Linked DNA regions of Lepisosteus oculatus. The protein of the gene in region 1 binds, or shares a complex with, the protein of each later gene. Links are inferred from orthologs where the notes say so. Each region holds a gene or a part of one and is shown in the gene's direction. Other genes may lie near its edges.

Evidence for each region. The genes of interacting proteins can lie anywhere in the genome.
Region 2: lsm11 (region 1) and U7 snRNA-associated Sm-like protein LSm10 share a complex: the UniProt entries of both Homo sapiens proteins name them as parts of the heptameric ring U7 snRNP complex. The link is inferred for Lepisosteus oculatus from reciprocal best matches to the Homo sapiens genes LSM11 and LSM10.

The regions. Positions count from the first base shown.
Region 1 is NC_090706.1:28,076,092-28,087,348, forward strand, and holds lsm11 (U7 snRNA-associated Sm-like protein LSm11), read left to right. Parts: upstream 1-5,857; 5' UTR 5,858-5,899; coding exon 5,900-6,350; intron 6,351-6,604; coding exon 6,605-6,744; intron 6,745-7,319; coding exon 7,320-7,403; intron 7,404-8,730; coding exon 8,731-9,108; 3' UTR 9,109-9,522; downstream 9,523-11,257. UniProt on the Homo sapiens protein: Component of the U7 snRNP complex that is involved in the histone 3'-end pre-mRNA processing. Increases U7 snRNA levels but not histone 3'-end pre-mRNA processing activity, when overexpressed. Required for cell cycle progression from G1 to S phases.
Region 2 is NC_090706.1:4,890,434-4,900,849, reverse strand, and holds U7 snRNA-associated Sm-like protein LSm10, read left to right. Parts: upstream 1-5,877; 5' UTR 5,878-6,058; intron 6,059-6,130; exon of another isoform or gene 6,131-6,151; intron 6,152-6,773; 5' UTR 6,774-6,779; coding exon 6,780-7,151; 3' UTR 7,152-7,755; downstream 7,756-10,416. Other genes in the region: oscp1b (protein OSCP1), read left to right, coding at 338-441, 765-893, 1,121-1,190, 2,805-2,944, 3,196-3,259, 3,758-3,877. UniProt on the Homo sapiens protein: Appears to function in the U7 snRNP complex that is involved in histone 3'-end processing. Increases U7 snRNA levels but not histone 3'-end pre-mRNA processing activity, when overexpressed. Required for cell cycle progression from G1 to S phases.

The DNA.
Region 1 (11,257 bases):
CACACACCCCAAAAAACCTTCTCACCCTCAGTCTCTCCTCTGCTTGGGATGTGGTCAGCCCACCCTTCTGCACCAAAGTCCAAAACACCGTGTTGTACAAGTTATTAATATGACCTGGAAAACAGGAGCACCACGCGAGTCAAAACAGTGGTCGGAGATTCAGGATGTGAGAAACAGAAACAATCCAGCAAGAGAGCAAAGAGATTCCAGTCGCTGAACATTTGTAGAGCTGTCTTCTTTCCACTTTACCCAGTACAGCGTCGCGGAGGAACTGGAGCAACAGGCACAAGGGAAGGGAACACTCTGGATGGGACACCAGTCCATCACAGGACACGGACACACTCACACTCAAACCAGAGCCAGTTTTCCCAGAACCAGCCTATCTACTGACTGTGGGAGGAAACCCACACAAACTTGGGGAGAACATACAAACGCTACACAGACAGCAATCCCAGGGATTGAACCTAGGGCACCAGCACTGTGAGACAGCAGGGCCGACCCATCTGCAGAGCAAAATTTTCAAATGGAAAACAAAACATTCACATGTTTTATTTAGTCGAAAGAGTCTCTGGTGGTGGAGAATGAAGCGCTGGGAGCACTCACAGTCGGCCTGTCTCCAGCTGAGGTAGTCTCTGAGGTTCTGGTTGCTAGGATACAGCACCACCCTGCCATCAAAGCCAGGGGGATACTTCAGCTCCTGGTCCCCAAAATAGTCCTTCCAGTAGAAGACGTAGCTAGAGGAGAACTGCGATGCCACATGAGTCATCAGCTTGCTGTAGAGGCAAGAGAAGATAAGATGGGCACGCTTGTGGTCTCTGTTACCCACCAAAATGTAAAATACAGCTATTCACAGTGTGTTTGGCAAGAAGAGGCAAGCTCACAGACGCACTGGGCTTCACATTTGTCCTGTGCTGTGGGCAGTCAACGGTGACAAGTGAGGCTATCTTGGTCATAGCTGTGTGGGTTTTAGTGAGACAGGATGCAGGCTGCCACAACGTAATTTTAGATTCTTTCCACTGCAGTGGGTCAGAGGTCTCCGGAGGTGTGTAGAGCCTTTAAGAGGGTGTCTTCTCTCGTGTCCTTAAAACCTTTGCAGGTCAGGTCTCTCCCGTATATACAGACCTTTTTAACCTCTCTCTGTCCCTGTCAGTTGTGCCAGAGTGCGTCAAGAGAACAACAACCGTGCCACTGCCCAAGCAGACCGAGATAACTTGTTTGAATGATTACGGCCCAGTGGCACTCACTTCAGTGATATGAAGTGACTGGAAAGCCATGATTGGTAAGGGCCATGATTGGTAAAGGCCAATGGGAAATTTGCCCAGGACTCAGGATTACACCCCTACTCTTATCGAGAAACGCCCTGGGATTTTTAATGACCACAGAGAGTCAGGATCTCGGTTTTACATCTCATCCGAAGGATGGCATCTGTTTACAGTATAATGTCCCCGTCACTATACTGGGGCATTAGGACCCACACAGACCGCAGGGTGAGCGCCCCCTGCTGGCCCCACTAACACCTCTTCCAACAGCAACCTTAGTTTTTCCCAGGAGGTCACCCATCCAGGTACTGACCTCCTGGGAAAGCTCACACCTGCTGAGCTTCAGCGGGCTGCCAGTTGTGAGTTGCGAGGTGATATAAACTGCACTATCCCAGACTCCCTTGACCCACTTCAGTTGGCTTACCACCCAAATAGATCAGTGAATGATGCCATATCTCTAGCACTTCATACTGCCCTAGAACATTTGGACAGGTGGGGTACCTATGCTAGGATGCTATTTATAGATTCCAGCTCAGCCTTAAACACAAGGCTATAGAACAGGTTCTACCCTACTGCAGTATGCATCCTTAACAGCTAACTGCAGTGCCTGAGAACTCAGTGCACCTCTGCACTACGCACTTTTTGCATGGACTACCATGTGTTTTTTTTCACTACCACATCTTTATTTTTCTTCACAATGTTTTTATCGCTCTTGTTATTATTTATCATGTTTGCAATGTGCTGTCTCCATTGTGTGGTGTCGTCTGCTGTACTGTGTGTGTGTGTAAGAGATCAGTGTGAATAAGAATTCCAGTGTACATGTCCCCGTGGCAGTAACCTCCCCTACGCCTCTGTCTCTGTCCCCGTGACGTCCCCGCGCCTGGTGGAGAACAAGAGGTTGGGGGCCGCACCTGGCTCTTCTCTTGAACCAGTGGGAGGACCTCTTGAAGACGAAGCTGTACTCGTCGCTCTGCCCGTAGGCGATGACGATGTCCTCCAGCTCCTCCATGACCGAGTGGGCGCTGCGCGTCATCAGGCCCAGCGCGCGCTCGTCGTTGGGCTTCGTGAACTGGTGCTGCTCAGCAAACCTGGGGGGGGAAGGGCGTTAATATCGGCAAACAAGAAAGGAGAAGAGACCCTCTGGGTCAGGCCCAGCTCGCTCTCTTTCAGCCCTCTCTTCCGTGACCACACAGGTGACGCACAGATCCGCCACACAATTTCCTGCTCTGCCCCATTCGGCTGGCGAGAGCTTCCAACTGCGCAGACAGCCTCTGGATTTGCCAGGAGGCCAAGGCCAGGAGGAAGTTCTGCACATGCAGCTTTGTGTAGCTCTCAGAAGGGTACACAATCACAGCGGTGCCACGGTTTCAGAGACGAGAAACAAGATTTTAAGTCCTATCGCCGAATTAAAGTTTAATGACACCTACACCCGTTGTGCTTAAGATTTTATTCAAAATCGGAATGTGTCAAGCACCTGCGCATTTCACTGCTTATTAAGAATTGTATTTGAAATAATAGCAAAGCGCCGGTACCATATCACCCTGCAGCTCTCAACTGGAAGCCCAATGAAGCTCAGCAGGTGTGAGCCTGGTCAGTACCTGGATGGGAAACCACCTGGGAAGCTATGGTTGCTGCTGGAAGAGGTGTTAGTGGGACCACCCTGCGGTCTGTGTGGGTCCTTATGCCCCAGTATAGTTGGGGGGGACACTATACTGTAGTGGGCGCTGTCTTTCGGATGAGATGTAAAACCGAGGTCCTGACTCTGAGTGGTCATTAAAGATCCCTGGGCATTTCTCAATAAGAGTAGGGAGTTATCCCGGTGTCCGGGCCAAATTTCCCCCCTCGGCCTTTACCGTGGCCACCAAATTGTCCCCATGTGTGATTGGCTTGCACTTGCCCTGCAATGGACTAGCGTCCAGTCCAGGGTGTACCCTGCCTTGCACTCATTGCTTGCCAGATAGGCTCTGGCTTCCTGCAACACCATGTGGTATTAAGTGGTTTGGTAAATGACATGACTTAATAGCAAATAGTCCTTCACTCAGAAAAAAAAAGCTAACAATTGGATGCATTAGGCATCCCCATCCAGTGAATGACAAAAGGCTGTCTGCGTTGTAATAATTCACGGCTGACCATTACCTGGGATCACCTGCAGTGCCCTAGAAGCTGACTGAAGCAAGAAACCACCTCCTGCGAGAGCAGCGCAGTTGTGGTCTGCAATGCTACTCACTTGTGGAAGTTTCGACCGTCTAAGCGCACAACGATGTAGCAGTTCCTCAGGCAGGTGTCGTCCGTCTCGAAGGAGCGGACGTACTCGAATTTGCTCTTGGCCATGGCGGGGGCGCGCGAGGCGAGGAAGCCGCGGACAGAGGAGGCCCGACCGCCTCTGTGGGCCGCGCGGTTGGCCAGGCACGATCCGAAGGCTCTGCGGAACGGAGTCAGGCGCGGTCCCGCTAACATCAGCTCCCTGTGAGCAGGAAGAACACAAACACAGAGAACCCGCGGGCTTGGTTTGTAAGGCTGCGATATAGCGATATGAGACGTAAAACTGAGGTCCAATATGGCACACTCACTGATCTATTTGGGCGGTAGGCCAACTGAAGTTGGTCAAGGGAGTCTGGGATAGTGCAGTTTATATCACCTCGCAACTCACAACTGAAAGCCCGCTGAAGCTCAGCAGGTGTGAGCCTGGTCAGTACCTGGATGGGAGACCTCCTGGGAAAAACTAAGGTTGCTGCTGGAAGAGGTGTTAGTTGGGCCAGCAGGGGGCGCTCACCCTGCGGTCTGTGTGGGTCCTAATGCCCCAGTATAGTGACGGGGACATTATACTGTAAACGGATGCCGTCCTTCGGATGAGACGTAAAACCGAGATCCTGACTCTCTGTGGTCATTAAAAATCCCAGGGCGTTTCTTGAAAAGAGTAGGGGTGTAACCCCAGCGTTCTGGGAAAATTTCCCATTGGCCCTTACCAATCATGGCCTCCTAATAATCCCCATCTCTGAATTGGCTGCATTACTCTGTTTTTAATAGCTGGTGTGTGGGGAGCATTTTGGCACACTATGGCTGCCATCACATCATCCAGGTGGATGCTGTACATTGGTGGTGGTGGAGGGGAGTCCCCATTACCTGTAAACAGCTTTGAGTGGAGTGTCCAGAAAAGTGCTATATAAATGTAAGGACTTAATAATAATAATAATAATAATAATATTATAGTTCAGGTGGGTAGCTGTGTCAGCATGCGTAGGCTGCAAAGTAACAAGTAATAGGTTTATTCCATGCTGAAAAGAGAAGAAAGAAACCCACAACGTGTTTTCTTTCTTCTCTTTTCAGCATGGAATAAACCTATTACTTGTTCCATTATTATTATAGTACGCACCAGGTACAAACGACCTCATATTTTGTGCCCGTATTAACCTAATATTCCGCTGAACACCAATTAAAGTAGCAGCTCTGTTATTGTATTCTAAGTTGTATTAGGATATTTAAAGACCTGCCACAACACTTATCTAATGCAAACGGCAAAGAGATTTAGATTAGAAATACAGGCCAGTATAATGGGCTGTACTGATTTGACTTTAAGGCTCAATATCTCTAAGAATGTAAAGCGCTTTGCGTGGAGTGTCCGGAACAGCGCAGTGGAAGTGTAAGGGATTATTAATGTGCTCGCTGCTTTTGCAAATTACGCATATTCGAATATATGCTTATCATCGGGACTACAAACACCGGAATTCATAATGAGGACCTTAACCGAAGGGCCTTCCAGCACATCAATGGGTACGGGACCGACACATTAACACAGCGTTTAGCTACATGATAGCAGTGTAATAGATGTTTGTTTTTTTTCCGCAAGATATATGTAACAGGGCATATTAACCACAAGTAGAGAGAAACAACCCTTTCCTCATAAAGAAGGAACACAAGACTGGTTGAAAATGCACGTAACTAGGTGCTAAGCGTATAACACATTTTAACAACCCTTACCCATTCCTCCTGACATATGCGACTTTACCCAAGCTGTCGGATAAACGCAAGCTACCTCAACAACCTCGTGTAGTGTACAATTAATGTGTACAGGGAAACCGTGAAGTCCATGTGTACAGGCCAGACCCATATACTGCATTTCGGAGGGGGAAAAAGCGTAGTACACTTTCACACCAGCGTGTAGTTAAGGAGAAAGAGCAATATAAAATAAAAATATGTAGTTATAATACATAGTTATCGTGGAAAACTGATATAACTTATACTTTTATTGTTTTGGTTTTTGCAAACGGTATGTATAATTACACGATCACCCCTACAATAAATTCCAGCTTTAAAGTGCGGTACTACATTTAGAGTATCCAACTGCATCATAAAGCTACATTTTGGTTCCTATCTGTGAACTCAGGCGAGTGAGAGAGAAACGCCTATTGCAATTTCCAGAAAAAAGTCGTAACAACTTGAAACGAACGCATTTGTGTCGGTGATTATTAAAAAAAAATATAAACGAAAACATAAATCGCATAATGAACACAAAAACTGTCGTAGCAAAAAAAAACCCAGCAACTTGTGGGCTGATACTCCCTCTAGCGGCAATCAGGAAGCAGTTCTACAAACTCCTTGGACTACATATCCCATGACGCACAGCTGCGGGTCTTTCAAACATGGAGGAGAGTGAACGGAAAGTGACGGACAGATGCTCTGCAACTGAAAAGCGCGGTGATATTATGAACCCCAGTTCGCTTCGGGACCCAGACGAGGAGCAGAGCGAAGAGCCCGAAGATGACCTGAAAGTTAAGCTGGATGTCAGCTCGGATAAGTTTGATCCGTTGTTGGCGCTTTACTGTCCCGAAATCTCGCTGCCGTACCCCAATGTGAAGTGCTTCAACAACATCGCTCAGTATGAAAGTTTTCTCAGAGGGGGCAGCGGCAGAGCGAAGCCGCAGAACGTGGCGAAAAAAAACAGGAAAGCCAAGAAAGGCGTCCCGGACCCAGAGAGGATCGAGAGGCTAAAAAAGTTGATGGTGAATGCACCGACGGAGGAGGGAGCTGGGGGCCGCCAGAGACCGCCAAGAAAAACTAGGGCTCCCAAAAATGTTCTAACCAGAATGGCCGGTAAGCAAAAACTGTAACGCCTGTACGGTCTGCACACACTTGACTCTACCTACACCCGTCACGTAAAAATCGTTGTAGGTTTAATGCAAATGATGAAACTTTGCCCAAATGATTGTACAAGCAGTAGTCAAAGCAGCAGCATTTTCAAATTCTCAGATGATACAGCTGTGTTTGGCTTAATGTATTATCAGGGATGGTATTACAGTGTGCCTTGCCTTGTGGTAATCTCACTGCTATGCCGTTTGCCTCGTCAGTTCACGCTGGGAGCCCCCTGGGAGAGCTGTACCGCTGTGTCCAGGAGAAGATCCGGGTCAAAGTTCACATCCGCACTTTCAAAGGGCTGAGAGGAGTCTGCAGTGGGTTCCTGGTGGCCTTTGACAAGTTCTGGAACATGGTACCTCCCTTCCCATTGTCCGAGTGCTATAGTTATACAGGAAATTTTGCCTGTGGCTTTAGGTTCCTGGCTCCGATTTCTTGTATAACAGTAGCAGGTTGCCTCTTCAAAGTAGTAAACTGGCCAGCAGCTGCTCTAGTGAAAAAGCTTAGACTGGAACATTCCAGTATACAGTATTCAAAGAAAAACACTGTGCCTTGTTCAGTCTTGTGCTGTAGTTTTCTTGTCCTTCTGCCCTCCTTGGTTAAAAGGCTCTTCTCAGCCTTGTTTTCCGCCTAATAGTTGTTCCCCTTGTTTTGCACTTTTAACAACATTTTTGGTGCATCAACCAAAAGCCAAAAGATTGAGGACAAAATTAAGAAATGCAGAGTCCACGCAGTGTGTGTTTCACCTCACAGTGAGGTCACAGTGCGTGCAGGACACCCAGCCTGCTTCTTTGTGAGCGTAACGTCTGGATTTTAGCCGCTGTTTGCTGGCGTTCTGCAGAGCCCGTTGGAATGTGTGCTTTGGCGAGCTGTGGAGCTGTCTGTCTTCTGAGCTGTCTTTTGGCCTGCCCCTCCCCTCTGCTGTTTCAGGCTCTGGTGGACGTTGACGAGACCTACAGGAAGCCCCTGCTGGGGGAGGCCTTTCACCACGAGCGTGCTCTGACTGTCACCAGGGTGGGTACGGCCAACCGTGGCGTCCAGGCAAACAAGCCTGCTCCCATCCATCCCTTCTCTAAACCTTTAATTCAATTCAGGGTTGCAGGGTAGCCGGAGCCTATCCCAGCATGCAACGGGTGCTAAGCAGGGTACACCCTGGATGGGACGCCAGTCCTTCACAGGGCACATACAGACACAAACATGTGGGCAGTTAACCTACCAGTACGTCTTTGTACTGTGGGAGGAAAACAGAACATCATAAAGAAACTTATGCAATCGTTATGAGAACATGCAAACTCCACACAGATAGCACCCCAGGTAGCAGGTAGCAGCAGTGTTAATCACTGTGCCACCATGCTAGCCTTCAAAGCTGGTAGTTTTTTTTAGAATCACATATTATTTTTCTTCTACCCACCCGACTTAGAGTTGCCACTCGTGTGTGTGTTCACACAACCCACAGCTACGAACCCTGTAACCGCACACAGGGGAGAAAGAGGAAGTGCAGGCAGACTCCTCTGGCCCACTCACTTCTGAGCCAATCGTCTTTTAATACGTCACCTGCAGCACCACCCCCGGACTGCATGATCAGCTTTGATTGGAGGAGAGGCGCTTCCCTCTCCAACAGCACTACTTGCCTGCTTGGCCCCAGGAGGGTGAGAGAGAGGCCTGATGCCTGCTCCCACCCAGCGCTCAGCGGAGCTCAGACAGTTGCACACTGTGGCTTGGGGAATCCCGATCCCAGCCAGTCTGCCTCGGGCCCTTACTGTCTGAGCCCCCCTCAACAGGTGTATTCTTGAAAACGTGTACATTTACCTATGCAGTTGTAAGTAATGTAGCAAGCTTGAGATATTCAGGTTGTGGTATTTAAGATCCGGCAGTGCACAGTCAGATCCAGGGGCGAATCTAACTGCTGTGCAGTGGGAGTCTCACCAGTTTCCTTTGAGATTTAGTGACAGGGAGCTCTCTCTCCTCTTGCTTGCACAGTTCAGGGTGTAACACCAGCCTGAGATGGCTTTGCGGTATTTTATCAAGTTCATGTTTATCAAATGCACATCAATACAGTGAAATCAAATGATCATGTCGCCCATTTCTGTGTCCTCCAGCTGTTTGACGTGGCGAAAACATGCAAACTCCACACAGATAGCACCCCAGGTCCAGATTGAATGCAGTGTTAACCAAGTGGATCTAACTGCTGCGCAGTGGGAGTCTCGCCAGTGTCCTGTGAGATTTAGTGACAGGGAGCTCTCTCTCCCCTCTTGCTGGCACGGTTCAGGGGGGTAGCGCCAGCCGGAGACGGCTTTGCTTAGCGATATGTGATCATGTCGCCCATGTCCGTGTCCTGCAGCTGTTCGACAGGCTGAAGCTGCAGGAATCCCCGGATTTCGGGGCGCCGGAGGAAAGGAGCGGAGGGGACCCGCCGAGGACGCGGGAGTCCAGGACCGCCGGCGAGCCCCCGCCGGCTGAGGAGCACACGCCGGCCCGCCAGCTGCGCGGGTCGCCGAGGAAGAAGGCGTGTGGCGGACCCGGCAAGGAGAGGGAGGGGCCGGGACTGGGAGGAGCGCAGGACACGGCTCCGGGTCCGCGGACTGAACCAGAGAGCGGGACACAGGGCGGGGGAAGACAGCCCAAGCCCAGAGTGGACTACCAGCATGTGCACAGAAGGCACGTCAACCAGCTCTTCATCCGGGGAGAAAATATACTGCTTGTCAATTTAGAACAGTAGGTATAAAGAGAACGTCAGGTCACCGGAAAACCGAATCAAATGGTGTTTTATGACGTTTAACACCTACATTAAACGGATTTATAGGCAGATTGCGGCACCCAGTGTTTTCAGCGGCGCTGGCCGAACAGCTAGCCTCCCGAGTCGGGAGCAGTACGTCGCTCCTGGACGGGGGCGGGACACCGGGGCGGAGCAGAGCGGCGCCCTTCTCTCGCACATCGGCCTGGTCCACGCACGGCGAAACGCGCCGCCGTGCTGCTATTCTGTGGAGTTCCGTTTCTGACTTTCTCACGGAGGAGAAAAGAACGTTCACGCGTTGCCTGAAGTGGCACCACACGGCAATGAGAAATTAAAGAAAATAAAATGACATGCAGCAACAAAGCAAAGTGCTAAAAATAAAAAAAATGTGTGAAGATATTTACGGATTTTTTTGAAGAAACCTGGGGTATTATAATAAAATGTCTTTCTACCCTTAATGCTTCCGGTTATGAAGGTTTTAAAAATTGCTATTGGTATATAAGGGTTAAATAAAATGGTGAAAACTAGATGAATATCTAAGAATTATTTGAATGAGGCCAAGCCAGTAGATTATTGTCTCATAAACGTTTTAGTGGTGATTCCCATGTAATTATCATTTACCCAGGGTGGGGAGATTTGATCCGAATTCGTTTTTCTTGTCTGTTCCAGACGCACTAGCTTTTTAATGAAGAAGCCCTTTCACGCCCCCCGCTGAGCTCCCTGCAGTTAGTGCTGTCAGCCAGCAGAGGGAGCGAGGTACTGACTTTTCTATTTTCTACGCAAATTCCTTTTTTTAAGAGTGCTAGCTTGCTTCAAGCCCCCAAAAAGTGTCGTTTTTTTTCAAAATTCGCTATAGGATGTCAGCTATGCGCGTATACCGTAAGTAGTTTATTCAGCGTGATAAAACTGGTGAGTTTTTATTAAAGAGAGGGTAGTTTCAGGATGAGCTACCCCAGTCCTTGGAGAGCCAGTTCTCAGGTTTTCGTTCCCCCCTCTGTTCTTAATTACTTAATTGAGCTCATTAATTAATAATAATAATAAGAGGTCAGATGAGCTGTTTCATTCAGGCCCTCTCCAGTAGCTAATCGAAAACTGCCACGCACAGGACAGGAGCGATCCCGCCCCAGGTCGGGATGGGGGGTTGTTTTGATGTACTGCACGTCTCCGAAGAAGCCGAGCAAGTTCCAAGATTCATTTCACTGCCCATAAAACCAAAACCTCTGGCCAGTCGAGGGGCGTTGGTGTGCCTCAGGAGTGAGTGAGCCCGGCTGATCTCCACCAGATGATTTCTGGAGGTCACGTCAGCTCCGCCTTGGGGAGCCAAGGAACGCTTACAAAAGTGACCAAATTGAACTCGAGGGCCCCTTTGCGTTTCTTGAGATAAGCCAGGAGAATGACAGGTCCTGTGAGAGCTCCGAGCAGGGGGGGGCAGTACCTGTGGAAGATTGCCTCCGGGCCCCCTGTCGTCTCTCGTCCGGCCTGGCGGCAGGAGAGTGTGCCCCGGGGAGGCCTCTGTCCTGCCAGATGGCGTTCCTCTCCCCCTCTGGGGGCACGGTGTGACCTGCGAGAGTGGCCGTGGCGTCTGCCCGGGGGCGGAGCGCTGTCGCCCCAGGTCCTGCAGGTCCGAGCAGGCCTCTGTCCCTCGCTGTGTGGTGGGGCCCACCCGCGTCCCCTGGCCTGCCGGCGTCCAGCAGGAAATAAAGCGAGAGCAAGGGCGCAGGGGCTCCATCTGCAGCCTCCGTTCTGCAGATCTGACACGGTTCAAACGGGTTTTGGTTACTTTTGCGGGGTGGGGGTGAAACGTCTCCAGCGATTGAGAGAAGGAACCGAATTGCACAGCCCACATCTCTCTTTTTCCATTTGAGTACATCGAATGCTTGAGCTTGTTTTTTTTTTCAGGTCTCGAAGTGTTCGGCGCATAACGTCGATTCCCCTGGATTTAACAACAGAAATTAGGATTTTCCAGTGCCCACGTCTTGTGCTGGCGGCAAGACTCGGTTTCTTTAAACCAACAGCACTATCAGAATTCCCAAGGGCCTGTGCTGTGGGCGACTGAAGCAGATTCAAGAACGTTAGTATGGTCACAACCAAGAGAGGAGATCTTTTGGCCTCTCTGGTAATTGATCCAAGGAAC
Region 2 (10,416 bases), about 23 Mb from region 1:
ATGATTCACTGCACGCCCAGCTGTGTGTTGCATGTATCTACTCACTCGGTTTGTGCTTGCACACAAATGGGTTGTTAATGATTAAAAATCATTAATCATTTATTTAAAAAAATCTAAAATCATGATATTGGTCAATTTGGTGCTTGATAAAAAATCAAGCTTATGCAAAGTCTTTGTTCAACTGAAGGTTAGTAGCCCAGCTTTCACACCTGACTTAATGGGGATCTTGGTAACCAATTAAATTATTATATCCAGTACATCCACACCAAAGAAATGTGCGCTCTGTTAGTAAGTGCAAACAAACAAAAAAATATGCTGAATTTTTTTATGTCTGCAGGTGTCCATTTTTTTAAAAGACAAAGTACAGAATTCCAATGGCCGGTTTGTGCTGCCTACATCTGGGCCTGTTCCTTGGGGAACTGAACTTCCAGGGCTCATCAGGTAGTGTATTCATTGACAATACCCTGCAGTAGGTTACGTTACTCCTTAATGTTCTAAATGAAGATCTTAAACCATGTGAATATCTGAAGGATTAATGGCTAAGGATTAATTGATATTCCTCTGTTATATACTGTATAATAGTTTTGAAAATCTTTGAGCTACATAATTTATCTTTGTGTTTGTAGACTTTGTTTTCCTGATTGGATTAGACAGTATTCTTTGCGGTTAATTAAAGTGTTTGTTTTGACTTACAACACACTTTTTTATCATTAAGATTAGTAATAGTCTAAGTGCGAGGTTTGTTTTTGTGATTTCTTTCTTAGAATATTCAATGGCAGTGGTGAAGAAGTGAAAAGCTTAGAGTTCCCTAGCGGAGGAAATTATACAAGTCCTCTGCGGGAAGGATCTTTTGACCTTTATGGTGAAAGAGTAATTAAACTGGGCACCAACATGTAAGTATCATTACTACATTTACTACTCAAATTAAAACTCAGTAATAATTAAACAGGGATGTAATAAAAATGAGCCTTGACACACCAGGCTCATTTACAGATACAGCTAGAAGAAATGAAGTGCCTGATTGCCTTTGGATGATTGATGTTTCATTCCAGCCCGCAGTGTAACATGATGTTACTTGCTAGTGGTTTTGAAAATGTTTATGCTGCATCTTGTATTACAGGTATAGTGTAAGCCGCCCTGTGGAAACACACATGTCAGGAACATCCAAAAGCTCTGTGTCGCACACCAAGGTGAGATGACAGAGCACACAGGTCCGGACCTGATGTCTTTTTCCAATGTATTTCCAGCAAATGTTAATTCAGAGGGTGTCCTAACAGAAACAGAAAGTACTTCTAACTGTGGAATGGCTGACATGCTCTTTCCAAACTTAATTTTTTGCAAATTTATTCTTGGAAATGCCCAGACATTATCAAATCAATGGAAATAAACTTGTCAAGTGTCGATCCTTTTCGTAATCTGGAATTGGCAATTGCTTGAAATTCAGATTGTGGCTATCTGTATCTACAGAATTGCCCTGATGATCTGCAGATGTACACCTTCAACACTTGAACTTGAGCCTTATTGCCAGTACTGGTACAATGGAATTCTTACTTACAGAAAGTCTCTCGATTGTTAAAAAAAAGTGCATCAAGGCAATATACAAACAAAAAGTAGACACTGTACAAGTCGACAAGTAAACAGTTCAAATGTAAACAATGACTGCAGATGTGCAATAAATAAAATTACAATGAGGTAGATGGTGTAGGTGTGGTCCGAAGGGCATGGCCAAATGTGTTCGCCAGTCGCGCTGCTTGTGGGCTTTTGAGGAATCTGGTGGTAAGTGTCCATATGCTCTTATATCTCTTGACTGAGGGCAGTGGGGTGAAGAGCTCATGTCCGGGGTGGTGACTGGCCTCTGTGATGGCCAGAATTCTACCATAGCAGCGGTCCTCATAGTGCTGTTTAATCTCTGTGAGACCACGGCCGGTGATCTTCTGGGCCACATTCACTGTTCTCTGCAGTGCTTTTCTCTCGAGAGAAGAGGTGTTGCTGTACCACACGGTGATCCCATTAATGAGGATGCTCTTGATGGTGCAGCGGTAGAAGTTCACCAACACAGGTAGTGGCATCCCCCATCGCTTGAGGCACCTCAGAAAATAGAAGTGCTGCTGAGCCTTTCTTCAAGATAATGTCCATGTTCACAGTCCAGGTTAGATCATTAGAAATGTGAATTCCCAAAAACCTAAAGCTGGTGGTTCCATCAATACTGAGTGGGCTGTGAGTCTGCGGCCTGTGTCTCCGAAACTCCACTATTAGTTATTTTGTTTTAAAAAACCTATCACTGACATTCTTTTGACATGCTACAGGCTGTACAAGCTCCACCAAGCCTAGCAAGAGAATTAGTGCTGATTGGGGGAGAGGCGTACTGATGGTAAAGGCCAATCGGAAATTTAGCCAGGACGCTGGGGTTCTGGGTAACAGCCCTACTCTTTTCGAGAAACACCCTGGGATTTTTAGTGGCCACAGAGAGTCAGGACCTTGGATTTAAGTCGAAGGACGAGGCCTTTTTACAATATAGTGTCCCCAACACTATACTGGGGCATTAGGAGCGCCCCCTACTGGTCCCACTGACACCACTTCCAGCAGCAACCTTAGTTTTTCTCCAGGGAGTCTCCCTTCTAGACTCACACCTGCTTAGTTTCAGTGAGTTATCGGTTGCAGGGTGATATGGCTGCTTTAAAGTAATTCCGGAGCTCGTCAGTAAGATAGAGTACAAATTAAAAAAGTGAAACTCCAAATGAAAGGTGAACTGCCTGTTGTTGGGAATATCTCTGTTTCTGAAACTAAAACGTTTGATCCCCCAGGAAAATGCTGCCCCTAATCCTCTTGCAAAAGAAGAGCTGAACCTGCTGGCCAGATTAATGGGAGGTCTGGAAGTCAAGAAGCCTGCAAATACTGATGGAGGGTTTCGGGTCAACTTGTTCACAACAGACGAGGAAGAAGAGTATGTTTTCTGATTTTTCTGTTTTTATAATCCCCGATCACCCAAATATATTAATTCCTTCACATTTACATTAAAAACTAAAACAAAACTTTGAGATGTCTTGAGATAGAAACTCATTTTGTATAGATGAAGGTGCAAGTTAGTATTTTGTTTATATTTTGTAACTGATGTGTGTTGGATTGTGAGAAATGTGTGTTGAATTTATATGTCTTATGAAACCACTCTGTTTTTACTATTTTACTTTTTCACAGGGAAGCTTTGATATCAAGGCCTCCAGAACTTTCATACCAGGTTATAAACATACAAGCTACAAAGGTAAGAATAGCATTTATTACACTTCAAGTTGGCTTTTTAAATTTTTTAACAACATGCAAATTGAACAGAAGTTAGAACTGGAGTCAAAACTATACTACTTTCTTATCCAAACATAAGGCCAACGCTTTGCCCTAAGACAAGCATGGGGAGAGTGAATCTGGAAAACACTGGTTAAGCAAATTCTGTTGTAAAATGGGTACTATTAATGTAGTTAACTAAAAAATCAAAGGAGTCAAAAATTAGCAGTTTTTATTGTATTACATTTCATACCCAAAAACAAGTAATCTAGAAGTAAAAGACCACAGGGAGACCAATTATGAATTGGTTTTGGAGAGAGACTTCCTGCAGTATGGTAATTCCATAGAATTAAGGCTGCAAATGTTCTTGATGTTTCATGTTCTGAGCTAAAGAAAAACAAAGTTAATCAAGATTAATCAGCCTTCTTGTTCTGTGATTGTGCTGTGGTTCCCTGTCGGTGACGATGTCTGTCAATGTCAGGACCAGCATGCGAACGCAGAGCTGGCTCGTATCATGGGGGAGTTCGCGGAAGAGCCAGGACCGGCCCAGAGCCCGGGCAGCAAGGGGGACAACCTGCTGGCCATGATGGATGGCCTGTGACATTTCCCGGAGGCTGCTGGGACAGGAAGACTAGAGGGATCTTGCAATCACCAAACTTTTATTTTCACTGTGCAGACATGACTTGCTGCTAGCCTGGTACCAAAAATGTGAAGAAGTCATTCAGACTACGAGTATAAGGGCGTTTTGTTCGTCATTTTCATAATAGGATTTTTTTTGTACTCTCGTGGGAAAGGTGACGGGGGGAGAAAGAGTAGTGTGCAGGAGTTGTAAGATGAAACCCAGCAACCATGAGCCACTTGAAACAAATATTCAGCCCCTCTCGGTGTGGTTTCCAGGAAGGGGTTGAGATGTTCCCTGATTGGATAAATCAGTTCACTTTGGGGAAGACTCCGATTCACACGGTGAGAGACGTAGGAGCGTGCCAGTTTCAGTTTAGATTGTCAAGTCTTTTGTTTATTTAAAATGGTTTCACTCAGTAGCGTAGATCAGAGTATTCTGACTAACGAGACCCGGGAAAGCCAGTCCATGAGCCCTTTTGACTGGTTTTGGTGAACATTGAAAACGAATCAGCATGTCGTGCAGCTGTATATCCAACTGCTGTGGTTCACGTCAGGGTCAGGAAAGTTTTCATGAGCTATAAAACAATAAGTAGCAACATATGTAATAAAACCAATAGAAAATAGAAACTATGGAACTTGTTATTCCGTAAAATTAACTCCATTATAAGCCTTTTCCTACTGGCGAACACATATGAATGTAAGTAATTACAAATGTAGATACTGTATTTAGAACTTTGTAAGACACTGTGCCGTCTCAACTTTGTTGCAGGCTGAATCCATCTGTACAGTTTAATAAAACTTTGCCTTCTTTTCCATCTGCTGCCGAGACCTGCTTGTTTTAGTTGGGTCTGTTGTGATTTTAAAGTATCTTCTTCATAACAGTCTTTTTGTCTTTTTTTTTTTTTTACACGGATGAGCAATCATGAAATTTCTAGTGAGGGCATTACTCAGTAGATCATGCCAGTAATGGGTAATTCTTTTTGGTGGGACCCTATTATTTTAATGTCAGGTCAGCTGTTTAACCTGTAAAGTACTTGTCTCAGTCACTGTGGTGGCTGGAAAGAAGACATTGAAGCAAGTGAATAGCTATATTGTATATTCAGTGGGTATGATATTACATTGTGAAAATTTCATATCACTGATGTAAAGAGATTTATTTTGCAAAGGGAATATATATACCTGACACCTGAAGAAGGCTTCACGGCCGAAACATTATATATATGTTGTTATTTTTTGTTGTGAACAGAAATACTATTGCTTCATAGGAACTTTATTTTTTCTACTTGATGAGATAGTATTTCTAAGATTCCTGGCAAGATTTAAGAAGTCTGTGTAAAGATGCCTCTGTATGTATACTCTCTTGTTTTCATGTCTATAGGTTTTGTTATTTCAGTGAATGTGTTGTAGAAAAGGGGAACTCAGCAAAGAACACAAGCACTTGTCTTTATCATCCAAAGGAATGGGTCCAAAATGATTTAATCGTATCTAACACTGGATTTTTAAGATTTTAAAGTTAAGTATACATCTTGGAGCTAGAAAATAAACAAGTGGAATGTGACTACTACAATGAGCAAATCTTGGACTGTTGCTCAGATATAAGAAATAGAAGATATAAGGCATTCTAAACATTTTAATGTGTCTTGTAGACTTTTATTTTTAGACTTTCATAACACAGTGAAAACATCAGTGTATCCTTCTGATGATCAAATGATTTTTATAGGGAAAAACGTTTTTTTTTCTGTTTTTTGATGAGGCCCTGAGAATACCTATGTTCTGTTTGAATCTTGTTTTAAAGAAGGTAAGTAAATCTGCTTAACTAAACAATCATTTATTACCTGTGCAATTGCTATTTATGTTTATTTCAATGACTCTACTGTGATTAGTACAGTGAGTTATTTTTTGTTAAGTTATATCGAGATGTTCAATAAACATACATTCATGACTTAATGTTCTGTTTTCGAATTGGCTTAGGATCCTAAACAGATGCTGTTTTCAGCATAACAGGTGACAAGCAATCCACTTTTCAGCACAAACTCCAAAGTATTTGCAGTAAACCACCGCTAGAGGGGGGTATGACTGCATAAATCTTTTTTCAGAGGCGTGACGTCTAATGAAGGAGCCTTCTTTGACATCATCAGTGTGCTAGAAAGACACATGCAAGGTAAATAAGTTTGGGTTTTAATTGTATAATTTCCTTGTGGGCAGATTTTATGATTCGCTTGGTTAATTGGCGCAGGGCGACTTCGAGAACGACGTAATGCAGTAGTGAAACTAGTTTGAAAATAGAACTGCAAATACTATATAACCGAGATGATTAGACTGTTGAAGTAAACTTACTGAACTAGGTCAAGCAATCATTTCCGCGACCTCGTGAATGTTTCAAGGCATTTTGCAAAGCATATTTTTACGTTTTAAAAATGAAAACGTGCATGTGTTTGGGTTTTTTTGTCTGTCAATGATAACCAAAACCCGCGTCCCGATATTCAAATTTTAAGACGTTCGAGTAGCATGCGCAGGCTGCAAAGGGAACAGGTAAAGGTTTATTCCACGCTGAAAAGAAGAAGACTCCACAGCCCGAAACGTTGCGTCTCTCTTCTTTTCAGCATGGAATAAAGCCATACAAGCTACTAAGGTAAAAAAAAAAACCTGTTCCTGTGCATTCAAATTGTAAGCATGGTGTTTTAAAGAACCTTTGACTCAAGTGATCTCCTGAACTAGTTTGCTCCTGGCTTACTACCAGTAGAGACATTTAATATGCAGCACGCACATCACTTTATTGGTACAGTTTAAACTGCGTTTCTTTAGGATTCTCCGGGGGTGGGGGGGGGATACTTCTGCCCTCCTTTAAAAAAAAAACCTGTCACTCGTTCGTACAGAGCACGATGGCGGTGTCCCATTCGATCAGGGAGCGCACCATCGCCGAGAACAGCCTGGTGGTCCTGCTGCAGGGGCTGCACGGCTGCGTCACCACGGTGGACCTCCGGGACGAGAGCGTGGTCCGGGGCCGCGTGGTCAACGTGGACGCGTTCATGAACGTCCGCCTGGAGGAGGTCGTGTACAAGGACCGACGGGGCGGCCTGCGGCGGCTGGACGACTTCTTCGTCACGGGGCGGAATGTCCGGTACGTCCACCTGCCGGACGAAGTGAACATCATGAAGACTATCGAGCAGCAGCTGGAGAAAATCCACCGGGTCAGGAACTTCGGTGGGGACCGGGGAGGGAGAAAGGAGTACCTGAAGAAGACTCAAACGTGACGGGCCGCGACCGAGTCTCGCAACACACTCGTTTTGCCTGGCAAACGCTCAACAGGTGAAACTACCCTGTCGAGGCTGCTGGGATTTCCTGGTCATGTGTTAAAATATCTGTATGAAATGTGATTTTCTTTATAAACCGTGACAGAAGCTATTGTGGTTTTGGATTTGGAGGCCATGCACTGCTGTACAAATGATCTTGTCCTTGTTTTTAAACGCCGTGACCGAGGTTGACGACAACGTGCGGCAGACTGCCTTTTAAGAAGGGCTATGTAGGGTGTCAAGGATATGTTTCGAATTCTGTAAATAAAACACCAAACTATTTTCATATGAAATCCGGAAAGTAAACGCTGAAAGTAAACGCTTGATTTTTTAATGCATTTTTAGGAGACGTTTCTTGCAATAAAACTATATAAAAAGTTGGATGTTGTGGGTAAAAATCAGCAAGGAAATGTCTGCCTTTTTTGCACAAAAAGATTACGAAAGTGTGTTTTGAAGACCCAGAAACTGTGTGAAAATTACAGCTTTTTGCAGGGTTTGCCTACTTTGGAATTAATCCTCCCTCGGAATTGATGACATTTGATTTAATAAAAAATCTTCTTCTTTTCTTGGTTTTATTTTATATCACAAAAAAACGGCTTAATTTAAAATAAGGAAGGAAACAACACCTTGCTGTGTTTCTGAAGGGAGGAGATAAGCTGGGTTTCAGATGCAGTCAAAGCTGTAGTGAGGTAAACACTTTCTTGCTTTGATAAAGCTCACTTGCTTTTCAGATCCGGTGATTGAGTTTGTCATCTTGTCCTACTCCTACACTGTCTTTCCCCTCCCACACCCTGAAACTCAGGCTGCTTAAATGGCTCATTAGGTACAGTGTCTTTGGTTCTGTGTAGCAATACCAAAACCCCCAAATCGATCAGAGATGTTGTGGGCGTCTGATAGACACCCACTGCTAACTAGGTTAGGCTTTTAGTACTTCCAGTAAAAAGGGTGATAATGCAGTATCATCATAAAAAAATATACAGATGTATAACATATAAACTCATTTCTACCAAGAAGAAATGCATTGAAATGTCAGAATATCTAAAGCCTTGCACAAATGTATCACATATGAATTGTTTGTATTTCTTATAAATTGTATTTATTATAAATATCCTGCTGTGTAAAATTTGATATTTTTACTTTTGGAACTTATTTGGAACACTGATGATGCCAGTGTGTATGAGAGTACAGTACAGAGATTTGAACCTGTGAGTGTGGCACACTTTTGTCAAATCAAAGCTCATTCAAAAAGACCAGCTTCTTTTTAAGAGTCGGAGGAATCTCAGGAGTTCCACACATGGAAAATACCGGAGGTGAATGAGCTGTGACCCGAGCCACTTTCTGTGCAATGTTTAAGGACAGCCAAAGCAGTCCTCATCTGATCTGCACGGCTGTTTGGAATACATACAAAGTTGTGCAATGGTAGCGACAACTCTGCACACATTTTAGTGCTTATCAACAGGAAGCATTAAAGCAGACAAATACGATATGCTATGATCCTGTTGACGAAATAGCAGAGACTTAAACAATCTGCTTCTTTTTCCACGTTTGTCTGTTTCATAATCGTAGCAATGTGCACGCACAGAGAGTAAAGATTCCTGATTAAGTGAGTGGTCTTAAATTTACTGTAAATTGAGAGATAAAAAGTAAAACACCATGGATTTTAGGTTAATACCATATGTTCATTTTTAATTTAAGTGAAGAATGATCATTTCTGCTTCAGGGATGTACACCCTAAAATTATATCATCCTGGAAGATACTGTAAGACAATGTTTTCAAGTATTGTGTTCAGGTGAGTTGCCATTTTGTTAGTTTTAAAGATTAAATTACAGTTATCAAAGTTGTTTTAACATTTTTATTTTTACAGTTCTACAAGTTGTAGAAGAGAACTAGGATGTCTCTCCTTTCTTAGTACCCAACATTATACTTTACATTAGGAGGGTCATCATTAGGGGGTCATCACTTTAAAAAGTTTGAAAACCTTACAAATACATCATGTACCTCACAAATACATCTAATGCGAGCCTTCTAAATATTAATTTTGGACAGTAGGTAACATTACTGCAGCAATTTCAGGGAGGCAGGACACCAAAAAAGTAGCAGGATGTTGAACGTTCTGTAGGTTGCGTACTTTGGAAGCTCTCTTGCTAACTCTTATTGTCTTTGGTGTTCAAACTCAGGCAGCTATAGAGATATAGTGTACAGAACATAACATCTAAACAATTATTCACCATTGCTCAGTTTCTATCAGACCGTTTGACCCCTTGTTTATGCATGCCTTCCAGTGCAAACATGAGTGTCTCGTATCGCTGTGGTTTCCAGAATGGCAAAGCACCAAAGTACATTGTACACATGGACGTAAACCTCTTTTTTTTCCAGGAAGCGCACAGTCCGGATCTCAACTACTGAGTCATGTAAACAAATGATAGCGCACCTTGTCACTGACTAAGAGCAATAAACAACAAAAACAATAAAGCCTTGAGCTATAAAACATGATATACAGTAACTGGCTGCCATCTTTTGGACTGGATTTCAGACAGTCTTGCATGCCAAGTAGGGATGCATCTCAAGGCAGTCAAACAGACGTTGACAGGTGCTTCACCAAGGCGCTCCTAACAAATCGCAAGAAAGTGTTTGGAGCAGAAAGCCCATTAGGAGTGGTTGAACACAGGAGACGGTTCCTAGTCCTTCTCCAACCACAGACTGTTTTTGGCCCTTGGCGCTTTCCCACCCACTCAGAAAACAGTGAAGTCCTGCCATTAATGGAATGTTTCCATGACAACGATGCACACTTACCTGGGTTATTTGAGTGCAGTCTGCCATCACGTAAAAGAGAAACTGAGGCGTCTGAGCTTGACTCAGCCCCTGATTCCCCTGCCAAGCCACGAAAATATTGCATACCACACAGTCAAAACATGCCAGGGCATCACACACAGCGTGGGAGTGGGCATGGCGTTGGGGGCTGCAGCTGGGAAGGGGCTTCTCAGTCTAGACTGTTCAACTTTGCTCCGTTTTCCTTGCTATCAAGGGAATCTCCTGGACCTCTCAATAGCGGTAGACATTGTGGTTCTGATTGTCAAGGAAAAATATTGGAATCAGATGGCCATTCACAACAGTGGCAAAGTATAAGGAAAAAGTCTAAAACGTAAAATGTAGTAGCTACCTTTCCTGTGGATGGTTACAATCACTGAATTCTATCAAGTCGTTCTTCTGTGTTCAAGTTTATGC